Linked DNA regions of Oreochromis niloticus. The protein of the gene in region 1 interacts with the protein of each later gene in a pairwise test. Links are inferred from orthologs where the notes say so. Each region holds a gene or a part of one and is shown on either strand. Other genes may lie near its edges.

The links.
Region 2: the proteins of ankrd13a (region 1) and qdpra interact in a two-hybrid assay, tested with the Homo sapiens proteins (2 studies listed by BioGRID). The two-hybrid records come from large-scale screens. The link is inferred for Oreochromis niloticus from reciprocal best matches to the Homo sapiens genes ANKRD13A and QDPR.

The regions. Positions count from the first base shown.
Region 1 is NC_031977.2:18,122,713-18,130,098, reverse strand, and holds the start of ankrd13a (ankyrin repeat domain-containing protein 13A), read right to left. Parts: upstream 3,009-7,386; 5' UTR 2,600-3,008; coding exon 2,492-2,599; intron 1,418-2,491; coding exon 1,282-1,417; intron 990-1,281; coding exon 865-989; intron 777-864; coding exon 731-776; intron 408-730; coding exon 264-407; intron 172-263; coding exon 1-171. Other genes in the region: ARF GTPase-activating protein GIT2a, read left to right, coding at 4,235-4,286, 7,047-7,180. UniProt on the Homo sapiens protein: Ubiquitin-binding protein that specifically recognizes and binds 'Lys-63'-linked ubiquitin. Does not bind 'Lys-48'-linked ubiquitin.
Region 2 is NC_031966.2:12,137,848-12,145,128, forward strand, and holds the start of qdpra (quinoid dihydropteridine reductase a), read right to left. Parts: upstream 3,003-7,281; 5' UTR 2,869-3,002; coding exon 2,785-2,868; intron 2,701-2,784; coding exon 2,608-2,700; intron 1,798-2,607; coding exon 1,701-1,797; intron 934-1,700; coding exon 793-933; intron 1-792. UniProt on the Homo sapiens protein: Catalyzes the conversion of quinonoid dihydrobiopterin into tetrahydrobiopterin.

The DNA of each region.
Region 1 (7,386 bases):
TTGTGTCCAAGTAGGTGTTGACAATAGGAGTCGTCAACCTTTTGGCAACTTCCTGCTCAGCTGGCTGCATTGACTCTAACGTCACATCCTCCATTTCTTGGGATATGTTGAAGCGTTCGATGTCCACGACTTCATCGTCGTGGTTCACCTCCATCAGCTCTGCAAATGAATCTGCCGACACACAGACAGGGAGTCGCTTAGACCATTTTAACCAAAACAGCAGCAAAGAAAACTTGACTGTGTGAGGGAGTGTAAACACATGCCATCTCCTCTGAAGATGTAGCTTCTACGCCCTCTGATCCAGGTCATGTTCTCAAAGCCTAGAAGAGTAACATCCACTCGCAGCGAGGCGCCGCTTTTCCAAATGCGGCAAACATCACTCGGACAAACCCGGGACACGAGAGGAACTGCGAAACAACGGGATACAGAAACAAAAAGCATCCATACGTGAAAAACACCACTTAAGCAAACAAATACTTCACCTGGCAGCGGGCAGGTATGTAGTTTTTCCTGTGTGACCTGATGAAGCCACACAGGAAAAGCGTCAATCTTTAAAAACAGACTGCTGCCTTAAATAAAAAAAACTTTTTAAAACCATCCCTCTTTTGCATACTGGATTTCTGATAAACCAGCTGTTTTTGCATGAACATAATACCATTTATACACTTGTCTACTTTAAAAATCTACTTAAAAATATATATATTTCCACTCACAAAAAAAAAGAACTTACTCCAACTGGTGAATTCCCATTTCATCTCCATATAGAAGTCTGGAGACTAGAAAAGGGAAAAGAAATATTTTAAATGTTTCCAGGCACACTTACAAATGATGACAAGCAAAAGGGAAAAATATATGAAGTCACACCACTCGGATCTTTGACAGCAGCTCAGGCACTCCTCCCAGGGCAGTGGAGGCTTTGAGGTAGTCTCTGCGTTGAAGCACTAACTGAACCATCTCTGGATCTCCTGTGCTGACTGCTTCCTGCAGCACTGCCCATAGAAAGTCAAGCAGAAAAAACCACTAAACCTTTTAATGGAACAGCATCCGTTTCCTCTGAGAAACGATTAACCATTAAAAACCTCAGCAATGAAATTAAAGACCAAAGAAACCGTTTTACTGCAGTTGTAGGAGTTGATATTCTTGGATAAGTATATTTACAAGAAACCTCGTCAACAGCAGATGATGGTTAGGGTTATAGACAGCAGGGATCTAAAATGAACCAACAAACCAATCCAAATCCTAGCCCTCCTTGTCTGTTATGTAGCTAGCTTTGTAACAAACCTGTCCAATTATTGGCATTTTCTTTAGTCACTTGAGCGCCATGTCTCAGCAGGATTCTCACTGACTCCAGGTGCCCGAGTGATACAGCCAGGTGTAGAGGTGTTCGGCCTCTGGGATCCACAGCCTCGATGTCATTCTGAAAAATAATAAGGTGCCTGTTTAGACTAAATACTACTGAGCTGACATAAGAACCTCCAAGCGATTATTATAACCAATGCAGTCAACAACATGTAATTTTGTCATGGCTAATAATGATATAAAACTGCTGGAGTCAGTACAAAGAAATCATAATAATTGTGTAGTGTGGATGTATAAGCCCAACAAGGGACAAGGGCTGGAAATTAGGAATAGCTATAAACTCTTTGTGCGGCACATCAGTTTCATGCTCTGTACTGGAACTATGTCAAACTGCATTGTCTATTTTAAATAAATAAAATAAACTCTCCAGCATGTCTTGAGGTAATTATTGGCTTAGGGATGGGAATCCAGAGCTTATACTATTCATCGGATTATCATAAACCCCCCAAAACATCAAATCTTTTTCACAGCACATGGCATGTTTTCCAAAAGTTGCAGATTGCACAACAGTGACACCAGACTCATGATAGCGGCACTTTTTACACACCTGTGTCACATGCAAGCTTTTTCCCCCCCTACACTTTGTCCAAGCAGTGAAAATGAAACTGTGTGTTGACAGTGAAAACCAATCTGACCTATAAAGAGAATTAATAATGGCATTTGTATCAATAAACTCTTATCAATACCCATCCCTAACACTGTTTATTGTTTGAGCCACTGGATCTCTCCACTTTGAAGCTAAATAGCAATGCCGAGTTACTGTAAGTAGTGCAAAATAAACAACAAATGTATCCATGCGAGTGATAAAACACGTACTGCTGTCTGTTAATCAGTGTATTTGAGGAATCCAGTGAAATGGGACAGAAGCTTACATTTTAACTGGAAACAAGTTACCAGTCTGTACCGGAAGACTTTTTGTTTGTTTGTCTTTTAAAGCTTTCAAACTTCTAGATGCGTAAAAAGCTGAGCTACTCAATGTCATGTGTATGTGGCTGCCTGCGGAGCATCTGTAAACACCACTGGCCTTCTTTAACTGCCTGCCTGCGGAAATTCAGCAGCTCACTCCTGGTTTAGTCCGGCTAGCTGAGTATTGGTGCCAAGGTTACCAACCTCTCCAGTGGTTTTAACCAACCTGCGTTGATGTTAATAGCTGCTCCAGCTTCCTGTAGTCATTCTCCCACACTGCGGAATGCAGGGGAAACTTCACCCTGATGTCTTCGCTAATGTTAGCCATGGACATCTTCCTCTTTCTTTCAGTGCAACGTTAGCCACCCTCTAACAACTGGAGCCATGAGAAAAGCTGGGACAGCCACAGTAGTTACGCCAAAAAGCTTTGATCCATGCCTTTAATGTCTGACAGCAGCGTCGAAGTAATAACCAATCCGGTGACCAACTTTCCCCCCCAAGCCTTCCCCTAAATAAAACTTTTGAACAAGGAAGTGCCAGGAGTATTTCCCAGCAACGACAGGGGTGTTCTATATAGAAACAGACTCGCGGTCCATTAAATATCGCCTGATTAAGGTAACCTAATGGTCGATTTTAAAGTGACACCTTCTTTATATACGGTTTACAAAATATTCCTTTAGGCTAAAAACAAATGAAACGGCACTCGTAGATAAAATCATCGCCTTTAAAAAAATAATAGACACTTCCAGTCTGGACTCAACCATTTAGCATGTCGACATGGGGGTTGAAGAACCTTCATTGTTAATACTATGACTAAATAAAGTGATTTCTATATTGTCTAACTTTGGTTCCCATATTTTGAATTCTTGAAATGTAGCGCCACTATATTGTGCAGACATCAGCTAAACAAACCATGTAAATTCCTAGAAAGTAAATTGTTTTATTTTGCCCTATAACATTGAAATGGGATCGGCAATATTACGTTTTGAGGGAGGGGGTGGGAGCGGGTTAAAAATCTAAATCTGTACCGCCAGGTTATAATGTACATAACTACGCCTGCTAAATTTAAAGATAGTATATAAAGTTGTATGTATCCGTCCTATTGTTTTAAACTTCACAAATCAATATTAATTAAAAACTCCTCTGTCTCAGTTACGTTCGGTGCCTTTTTCTGCTCTGCGGAGTCAAATTTTAATATATGATTTAATACACATGACTGTTTTCATGTCTTGTATTTTGTTTTTTTTTTAATCTAACATTGCATCAGTGTTAAAGATGTACAAAGCGCGATTTAAAAGGCCGTCGGTAGGTGAACATTTATGGAGCTCAATTTAAGACATAACAAAATACTACAGTGTACTCCAAGGTGAGTAGATCAAACTCACCTCTTTTAGGGAAAATTAAGACCCTGATTTTAATCTGTCAGGTTGTGTACCGACAAAAAAAGAGCTCCATAAGTATTGTGTTGTATTCATATTTCATGTTTACCTGTAGCTATAAAATTAGAGAATCGGAACAAATTTCAAGAAGGACTTATTCGTATTATTTTGAGAGGTTTATTTCCTGAGAGTCAAAACTATGGGCACAGTACACCGCATTTATAGGTCACAGTCACAGCTGCCTCTGGGATCGCGCTAGCGCTAAATGCTGCTGTCTAGAGGCAGAGGAGTAAACTACCAAGTGTGCACAGGCTAGTTAGCTAATCAGGTGGCTGCTCAGTCAGCTCACTTGCAGACGAGCGGCGTTGTAGCGGGAGGAAATGTTATCATGGTCATAACTCCAACGCTAGCCAAAACGAAAAGGCTCGCAACGGTTAAACGAAGTAAGTACGATAGTTAGTTGTCGGATTGTTTTTAATTTGCTGGGTTTAGCTAACGCGGAAGGTATCTTAACAGAGTAATCAATGGTTAGCATAACGGACACAATTTCCTCTACTCAGTTTTAAAAGGCGTTTCTTCCCGAGTTGAGGATGTCTAAACGCCTGCGAAACACTGAGGTCTGCGCAGATTGCTGTGTCCCAGGTAAGTAAAACTCACACCATCCATGCAGTGTTTGTCTGTTAGCTGACATTTGGTGCTTAAGAAACACCCCAAATCCAAATAAATCCGATTAGCAGCGCTGGCAACACGTTGGTTTCTCTTTACAGAAATTTAGGGTATTTACCTATTTAGTATTCTTCTCTAACGCCATAGCTCCCTTCATGAAAGGAGTTTTTAGGGTGCCGGTTGGTTTAATAACCAGCCAAAACCCTATTATAATTATATGATATGTCCCTTTTATATGCCCGTTGTAAAATGAGCTTTCAACTGCTGGGATGAACTGTTTCTCATGAGTAAAGTGCAATAAAAAAGGGCATAACAGTGGTCTTCTGGCACGATGTAACTGATCTGAACTAAAGGTGTTAATGAGTAATGACTGTATGGTATTTCCTACTGTATTCATAAAGATTTGATTATTTTAAAAAGTCGTTGCATCCTTAACCCAAATCTGCAGTCTGTGTCATCTGTAACCAGTGACTTTACTGTGCTATGTGTAGTAATAGAGTAAAAAATGAGTGCTATAACCACTTATTAATCAGGGTAAACATCAGGGTAAACCAGCACCCTCTAACAGAGCTCTGTTTTTCGGGGCCAATGGCACCAAGCTCTGAGAGCTGAGCATACAATTGTTGTATTGTGTCTGAGGCTGTACTTACAGAAGTTCCACTTGTATAGAAATGACGTGATGCTGTTCAGCAGGCACAGGAAGCAAAACAGGATGCTGAGTGAATCGACCGCATACTCAATGCAGGAGAGATTTTATTTTTTTTTCTTCTTGTGGCAACATAATGCACTGTAAATTAAATAAAGTCTAATAATAGAATATACATTGGTTTGTTTTGCATCATTCAGCGGAAGGCAAATATTAAGAAGCTCGTCTGTCATCGTGTCACTCATGTCATTGGTTAACCCTGAGCTCTCCTCAGCAACTGCCCTGGATCGCCCCACTTTATGGTTGCTACCAGTTGTTGGGTGTGAATATTTTTAGCGTTTCAAGATGTGGTATTAAATTTAGCAGCACGTGCTGAGGAGAGCACTGAGACTCGGGGGGTCCTGAGGGAGAGTTGTTAGAAGGAAATTCTGAAAACTTGGGGACCAGGAACCACAATCTGTCCAGCGACCTCCTGCATCTGTTGCTCCTGCACTGCAGCTGCTGTCGGGATTTTTACAGCGCCTGTCCCGTCACTCTATCTGCTTAAAACTCAGTGGGCTTTAGTGCTGTATCATTTTACAGTGTTTCTAGTCTTGATGTTTGCTGTCAAGAAGAGTCTGTGCACAGATGGAAGACAACTCTGTGACTTTTGCACTACATGAACCGTGCAAAATAGGTCAAGGTTAAGTAAACACATTTATTTTGGTCACAGAGTCATAGTAGACTTTTAATTCACAGGGCACTAACACCACGCATTAGGTTAATATTGCAGCTCTGTTCTAAGATTCTTAGTTCTTCAGGTATTTTCTTTATAGTGCTTTGAAAGAGGAAGCTGCTCTGTTATGAGGCGCCTCGACCTACAAGCGCTAGTCTTCACTTCCTTTTTACACAACACATAGCTTCACCTAAATCTGCAGTCAGAAAGGCGATACATGACTATGAATGTGACCTTTTTCACAGCCTGTTGGAGTTTGGCTTTTTCTTTTCTTTCTTTCTTGGATTGTGTTTGTCTTCATTAGATCTTAAAGCCTCCACTCAGCATCTTGTGATATTATTATGTTTAATTATATGACATACATTACATTGTGATCTAGTGTCCAGAAATTTAATGAAAACTCCAACACCAACATTTTGTTAATCCCATGTGTTGAAAGCCAATGATTTTTAAAAAAATAAAATATATGAAATAACCATTTTCAAAAGCCTCGGCTATTTCTTCCAGCAGGACACTAGTTTTCAGCAAATGCCACTTGAACAGGATTAAACAGCCTGTTTTTCAGGGATCTTTCTCAGCTATAGATAACTATATGTTTGTTTTCTCAGAGCGGGTCTGGCTTTGTGCTAAGGGGTCCCTAAAATAATATGGTTTAGCTCATAAAGTCATGCCATAGCAATCAAAAACGAAATACCTTATACATATGGGGACTATTTATGCTATCAAAACAATCAGATTCTGTCGATTATTTCCTTCTGTGGCATCTTTGACCCAACTGAAACTCTTATGTTGTCTCGAAACTCCGATTTCATCTCCTTCTGTCATGAAATCACAACTCTTTTTAGGGTGCTTGGAACCTAAAAGATAGTTGTCTTAAGCCCAATTCAGCTAAATCTGTCACAATTATGAGGGATCCATGTAAAAGCTTTAGTTCTGTGCTTTTAAAAATTTGAGAGCTCATTTTTGTAGGTGTGTAATGGTGTGTAAAGTACTGATATCAGTGTGGCTTGCCTATAATTTTCAAGAGTCCTATGGCACAGAAGAATAAACTGTATTAAACTTTGGGTAAATTAGCAGTACTTGTGAGTAAGAACTATCAAATGATGATTTTTCAAAATATCATAATTATTACCAAGTAAGCACCTGCCTGTAGTAGTCATCTTACAACAGTGGTAACAGGAGACTCTTTGGCTCCAGCTTGTTGTCGAAAGGGAAGCACTGAGTTGATTTGAATGATGATAAAAAGAGAAAGAAAGATTAACTTCCGGCTTGATCGAAGTAAAACCAGTGAAATGCTCTAACTCCAAGATTATACTCTAAGCTGCTCAATTTATCTATCATAATTGTGACTTGGTTGTTTTCTGTTCTTGCTCAGAACCTCGCTGGGCCTCGGTGAACAGAGGCGTGTTGATCTGTGACGAGTGCTGCAGTGTTCATCGGAGCTTGGGCAGACACAGCTCCCAAGTGCGCCACCTGACGCACACGCCATGGCCCCCTACGCAGCTGCAGGTAAATAATCCTCAATAGAAATATTTTGATCATTCAGCTATTGCATGCGTATTTATTCATTTGGCTGTGAATTTTTCTTACTTGTAGTTTCTATGCTTAGATGCTGAACTAAAGCCATTAGGGCATGTTATACTTGGGTTTGGGTTAGTATTACTTCAGTTTTAAATTCAGTAGAGCTGTATGACATCAAGTGCAGCAGATCCTCT
Region 2 (7,281 bases), on another chromosome or scaffold:
GGGAACTGAGGAATGCATCTAGCCCTTCAATGAATCCATCTACTCCTCACGGAAGCCTCATGAGAAATTGTTTCAGCAGAAGACTGGATGTCAAGAAGATATTATTCTTGAAGGAAGGCAAATGGCGAGAAAGCAGCCAAGGTTTGCCAGATTACAAAAAGAACTGAAGTGAAAACATGTTGTACGGAGTGATTAATCCAAATTTGCACATTTCAATAAATCGCTACACCCATTTCCCAATTTTTTTGGAAAAACATAAAGTGGAGGGTGGCTCAAGACTTTTGTGCAGTACTGTATGCATTAATCCTTATGTAATATATAACTTATGGTTCTTAGCATAAATTTTCCTTTAGTGTTCTGTTATTCTTCTAATTTATCTACTTTCATTAACCTTATTTTTTATTTATTCACTCTTGCCCCGGATATCTTAAAACGATTAAGCAGGTTGGTTGAGTCAATTGCTCAACAACACAGGGGAAGGTTTGTGGTGGACAAACATGCTGTTTTGGCAATCAAACCAATTACTTTTTGTTTGTGAAACAGACTCACTAACCAGTGAGCACCACTGCTGCCGCAGAGCTCATCAGCGATTCTGTCTCTTTTCCCTTCTGTTTTGCTTCTTGGATCAATGTTATCGACACATTTCGCCCCCAATCGCGCACACTGCTGTGAGCAGGTGCGCCTCTGATCAGTGTGTCAATTACCCTGGTCAAAGTCTGTAACCCTGAGGAGCAGGCTATCAGTTCGCTATGATGAGAACAGTAAACACGCAACAAAAACTGTGTGCCTCACCTCCAGTGCCTGACTGGGCTGCTTTAGCTCCAGCCAGAGTCAGCAGTCCACCTGTTTTTAGGTGCAAGGCAGCAAGGTGGCTGGAGATGGTTGAAGTCCACACGCTCTGTTTCCACATCAAATCGGCATTTTTGTACAAGTCTGTAGGAGATTACAGAGAACAACATCTTAGCCTGGCTCTTCAAAGCAGTGCCGAAAGCTGCGAGTGCCTCTAAAAGGTTTGTTTGATCTGTACAAAAGCTTGAGTAAAAAAGATCAAATTGCCATTTTTACAGGGTTTCTGTGTCAGATTATTTCTTGGCTTGGACCAGAAACTTCCTGAAGCCTTACCAGACTGCCTGACAACCGTTCATTGCCAGGAATCATTGCTGGCACGTACCTCATCTATTAAATGGTGAATTGCTGTTTATAAACACTGGTATTTGTAAAGATTTAATACACTAACTTGTTAATCTGAGCCTGCCATGTAGACCAGCTGTTTTGAGTAGCTTCATTCATGCCAGTCTTTTCATCTTTGCCAGAAAGTGAGTGCCTTTTCCTCCAAATGTTTGAAATGGCTGAATTTTCGGCAACCACAAACTTCTTATTAGCTGCACAGTGCACATCAATTCTGGCACTTCAAGAGAACTGCTGCTTTCCCTTTGCTGCCAGGTACAGCTATGGAATAAATACCAAAAAGCTAACTGGCAGAACAAAAATCTGGCAAGCTTTTGGCCCCGCAGAACAAGATTTGAACACTTCTAAGTAAACGAGATTCAAGAAAAAGTCTCATCACAAATATCCCTTAGACTTTATTTAATTACACAGCAAATTGTTTTCAAGTTCACAATTATGCATGGGAGGCTGCAGGAAAGCTGGCTGATTATTAACATCAAAACAAATAAAAAAAAAAAAGGTTGAACTCTGACCTTTGGAACTACAGTTTCCTCCCGCCCATCCTCCCGCCACGCACAAGATGGCATCCACTTTCTGTTCCCCTAGCAACTGGGCCACATCTGCCGTCACCTGCACAAAATGAGAGCTAACTGCTAACACAGTGACATAAAGCTTGGGGGCTGACGCACAAGCTGAATGGCATTTAAATGTCAACTAAGCATCAGCTGGAGAGTGTTTGTTCTGGTAAACAAACAAAGGAGGATAGCTGTAGAAATTATCCTCACTCAGTAGGTGCACTGTTAGATTTCTAAAAACACACTTTTTATTTTATAAAGTGCATAAAATATCTTACCAAAAGCAATTATACAGAGAGAAGGGATGCTACCAATTTTTATCAAAGTCAGATAAAATGAGCAAAAAGAGATGCATCAAATGATAAATATATTTCTGTGTGTCAAATAAGACCATTTAAGATCAGCTTTAATAGTGTTACTTACCTTGGCTTTTTATACTCTCTCTACCCTTAGATGCTCTCAATGAATAGATTTGAGCTATAAAAGCTATTAAGATGTTCAAGAAAAAGAAGTATAGTTTAGATAACCATTAATGCTGCCTAAACAAATAAGAAAAAAAATCATCACAGTAATGTGACTCTATCATAACCTCTCTACTATAAAAACCGAAATCCCCACTTTCTCAGTGTGACCTGAACGCAGCATTAGCTTACACACATTTTAGCAACTCTACTATTACTGAACAATGCAAATAGTTGTAATAATAATAATAATTTTAACAATAATAAAATAACAAACAAATGTCATTGGAGTTATACTTCAGTCACATGAAAAGTCTGACTTTAGCTGTCGCAGTAACAGCCCTACTCCTGTCTGTTAGCGCTTCAGTTTTTGCACTGATGAGTAAGAAAGACCTGCAGAGCACCTGTCCTGCTTGCTCGGTGAAAGACTCCGTCATCTTCACGACCACGTTTTCATTAGCCTCTTCATTTGCACCTATGTCGATGCTGGCGACCCACTATTTAGTGCACAGAGAAAGAGAAATATAGTTAGCTCACCGTTTATCAGTGCTAGCATGCTAGCGTTAGCTGTCACCACTCACCCATCCTTTAGATTTGAAATACTCGACACACTTTGAGCCCAGAGCGCCTCTCCCACCGTAAACGATCACCCGGTTAGCAGCCATGTTCACGCTCCGGTTACCCGTCAGGAGTGAGAGCGAGAGAGCTGCAGGGATTGAGTTTAGGAGAGCAGGAGGAGGAATAGGAGGCGTTTCTCTGAATGAGCAACAAGTTGGTTGAACTAATGCTGCGTTCAACGACTGTCAGAAATCACCCACTCCAAAGTGAATCCAGAAGCGAAGCAAGCTGAGAACTGAAACCAAAAACTGCAGTTCTTGAAATAGGCATTTGAGGCTGGTCCCAAAAGCGAGTCAATCCCCCATAGCCAAACTTTACAGCAATTAAAAGAACATGGTCAATGCTCGTACCCTGAAAAGGAGTGTAGACAATTAAATAGTATTTAATAATAATTTAAAAAAAATAAATAAAATGCTTGTGTTACAGGAAAAAGTTTGTCCTCCAAGCATAGGAAGCTGTAGCTGGTAACGCTCTGCTAATTTGAGTCACTGAACAGAACAGTGGCGTGTCTAGAAAATTTTTGTTGGGGGGGCCAGGTAGGGGCACAGATTTGGAGAAGGGTGGCAGATGTAATTGGCAGATAATGTTAAAAAAATTCTACCAACAGTTAACCATCATTCAATAACCCTGTAAACCTAATAACTGAATTTGCTTTTGACTCTTATTAGAACAAGGTTTTAACCACTATGGTGCAGCAATATTTGCATAGTATTTTTACTGACATATAGTGCACGTATGTTTTGGGCAAAAACATTTTTAAATATTAAAATACGAACATTTTTAACATACAATTGGCAAATTAGCCAATGCAAAACTTTATCTGCCTATTAAAAAAAGAAGATAATCTTCTTACAAACTGGTGTTTGATTTTGAAACAGGAAAAAAGTGGGGAAACAAATGAAAAGACTAACATTTGAATAAAACCTGAAAGCAAGTAAATACTTTCTATGCTGCCTTATGGTAAACTTTGGTAATATTGATGTATAAAGAACAACACTGGCTGATGATAAAATACAGTCAGCTGGCATGGTGACACTGCCAGTATTAACCTGCAGGCTGGACTGGAACGAAAAATCAGGCATTTTGACCAGAGACCGGCCCGCCAGGTATTAAAGCCATAAAGCCTTTGAATGAAAACAAACGCTGTTGTGACAGTGATGTACACTGTCGTGTTGGTATATGTATGATTTCTATCAATTTTACGTCAGATAAAAACTTTGTTCGCAAGATTCAGATATTTATTTAATAAAAGCTAAATATTTTAAATGAGAATAAGAAAGAAAAGTATTTCTTTGTGCCCCCCTTTCCCTGTTGGCCCCCTGGCATAACTTTGCTAGATCCGCCCCTGCACAGTTACCAGCTGTCAGCTACATAGAAAAGGATCCTGGTGTTATTTGTCTCTCAGAAACAGTTCATAACTTCAACTCATTCATGTCACCTACAAGGTAAACCTGTTTCTCCATCACCTGTTCAGCTCTGATGATTCAGTAAGGACATCTCCTGGTTTCATCTGCATGTTTCCCTCTCACCACATATCCAAACCGACATCATGACCAGCAGCTTTACAGCTGTGGCTCCAGCAAACATCAGCTGATACTAGAAATTAATATTAAATAAATTCTAACAACAGCTGATCAAGCTTAAACGTGCTGCTGTTGTTTAGCGCGACATCCGCTAGTTTCCTCTTTCTGGTGCAAAGTGGGTGATAAACAAACGAGAGAAAAGCCGATCAGCTGATCATTGATCAGTTTCATGATTGAAGTAGCAACAGGAGAGGGAGGGGGAGAGAATGAGAGAAGAAGAGGCAGCTGTGCAGCAAAGACACAGAATAACTCCAGCTTTGTGTCTTTTTTCCATTCTAGCTGAAGTCCGGGACAAACTGCGTCTCTTCTCAGCTCAATACGAAACCTGTAATATTTTCTCTGAATGAGGGACCATTCCATTTTTTAAGGAGCGGTTGGAAACTCTACTAACTAAACTTATGAATAAAATAAAGTTCACTATCAGTAACATCACAGCACCCACCCAGCTGTATAGAAACTATGTCATGCTAGCTAGCACGCAGTATGAGTTATTGTAACTGACTGTAAAAAGTCAGCATAACAAAAATAAACTCCACCTAAACTTGGTTTATATCTGACCCAGATAGACTGCAGGTCATAACTTCTTACCTGAAGTTCAGTTCACCTGACACTGGGACCGGCGGCCGCCTCGGGTCTCTCCTCCTGCCTCCCCTTCACGCATCCACCTGCTAGCCGCTGTGGAAGCTCCGCCATGCTCGATGGCCAGTCCAGCTAAACTGTTAATCTTTCGCCGAAAAACTTTTTTCTGCGGTGCCTCTTTCTTGCTTGGCTCTCCTACCTTTGCTAACACGATGCTCATAGCTCAGAAGCCGATGCTGCATTCACTTACACTCGGATATCTGAGCTTCACTGTGAAAACATAATCGTACATTTGATTTTTCATTGGATTTTATTGTTTTGGCTTCGGGGTGGCACCTGGGGTGGCCAGTCTGGTTGGGGGGGTGGCCTGTGCCCCCCCAGGCCACCCCGCTGGACACGCCACAGGAACAGAACCTCTCTATCTGCTGATGGTGCATTTTTTGTGAGCAAAAATCTTTTAAAAATGTTATTATTATTATAAAAGATGGATTTAAATTTGGGTCTCAAAAGTGAATTCAACGTAGAAGTGCCTTAAACTTGAGCTGTTTTAACGGCTAACGACAGGTGAAAGCACAAGGGGTACATGCATCTTTCATATGACTTTTTCACTTGGCAATAATTAGCAAGTGTGTCTCTAACCACTGAACCCAGAGACTCGGGATAAAACTATATAGTTTTTGGATGCAGCTTGCTAAATCTCCCTGTCATTCAAATGTGGTTCCTTTTTACGGACAAAAAGTTAACACTGAGAGTTGAAAATGGTAGTCCAGAAGCCAGCAGGTGACGTTCTAGAGGACAGATGTCAAACACAAGGCCAGAGGGTCATAAATGGCCCAGTAAACACATCTGGCCCAATGAAGTGCATAAATTTTGATCTTTTAACTGCATTTCCGTGTCAAAAAAAAGACAAAAAGATGCACAACGTTGATGCTAAAAAACAAATTCTTCTTGTTCCTTCTATACATACATGTACATAGAAACAGTGTCTGAGAATCTTTACCATGGAATGAGTTTTTTTCAGACGTTCTGTTTTCAGTAACCAAAAACCATTTACATGTGCATGGCAAGCCATAAAAGGTAGGACAGAGTAGCCATTTTTCTTGACATCGCAAATAAAACATGTTTTTGTTTAAACAAGGGTGAAAACATACAGACTTGTGTTTTTTACTATACAGGCACATGTAGCGTTATTTCCCCACACCCTCTAGCACAGAGGTTCCCAAAGTGTGGGGCCCGCCCCCTGGGGGGGGCGCAGAGCCATTGCAGGGGGTGCGCGGTATGAAAAGAAAAAAAAAAAAAAGAGCGCTTGGACACTGTGGACAGGTTTTTGACGGGGCTCCCACACAAACGCAAAGCAGGAGATGAAGCATCGCCAAATATGTTTCCAAACCAACTTCCTTCCAAGCCAAAGACAGGAAAATATGGTGAAGCATATCTTCCCTTTGGCTTCACCTGCACAAGTGCCGAGGTAGGTCTCCCCTGCAAAATTAGTTTCCCTGCGTCGGGAGCACGCGCTGTGCTCTCCAAATCACGGACAAACAGTATCTCACATTCTTGATTTTTAGTTCACAAACACTTCTTGTAATAACTAACTACTCCTGACATTTGTTAGTTATTACAAGAAGTGTTTGTGAACTAAAAATCAAGAGCTAACATGATGTTAGCTCTTTATGCAGTAAAGTTACAGTGGGATACAAATAATATCAGGCTGATCCTGCCGTAATTTGTTCCCCCTGTTCAAATCATGGACAAACAGTATCCCACAGCTGTTTATGTGTTTAAACCCATTTTGCACAGAGAGGCATTTTTTGAAAAATGTATTGATAGCAATGTTGAATATTATTACACAGGAAAAAAAACAACTACAGGTAAAATAATTACACCATGACGCCTCTGCCTTTCTAAATGGAGGGACAGTAACTGCGTGTGTATATGTAAGCGTGTAAAACCTGAAGATAGTCAGATTAACAGTAACTATGAGGGGCCGTACAAGCCAAAATTCATTCTTTCACTCTCACACACATACATTCTTCTCTCACACACATATATTTTCACTCTCACATACATATATTTTCACTCTCACATACATATATTTTCATTCTTTCACTCTCACACACATACATTCTTCTTTCACACACATATATATTTTCACTCTCACATACATACATTTTCACTCTCACATACATACATTTTCATTTATGCATTCCTACATTTTGCTCTCATTTACATGCATTCAATATGCATTTAATCTCACAAATAATATATGTATGTAAGCAGAGAATGCATACATGTCAGAAG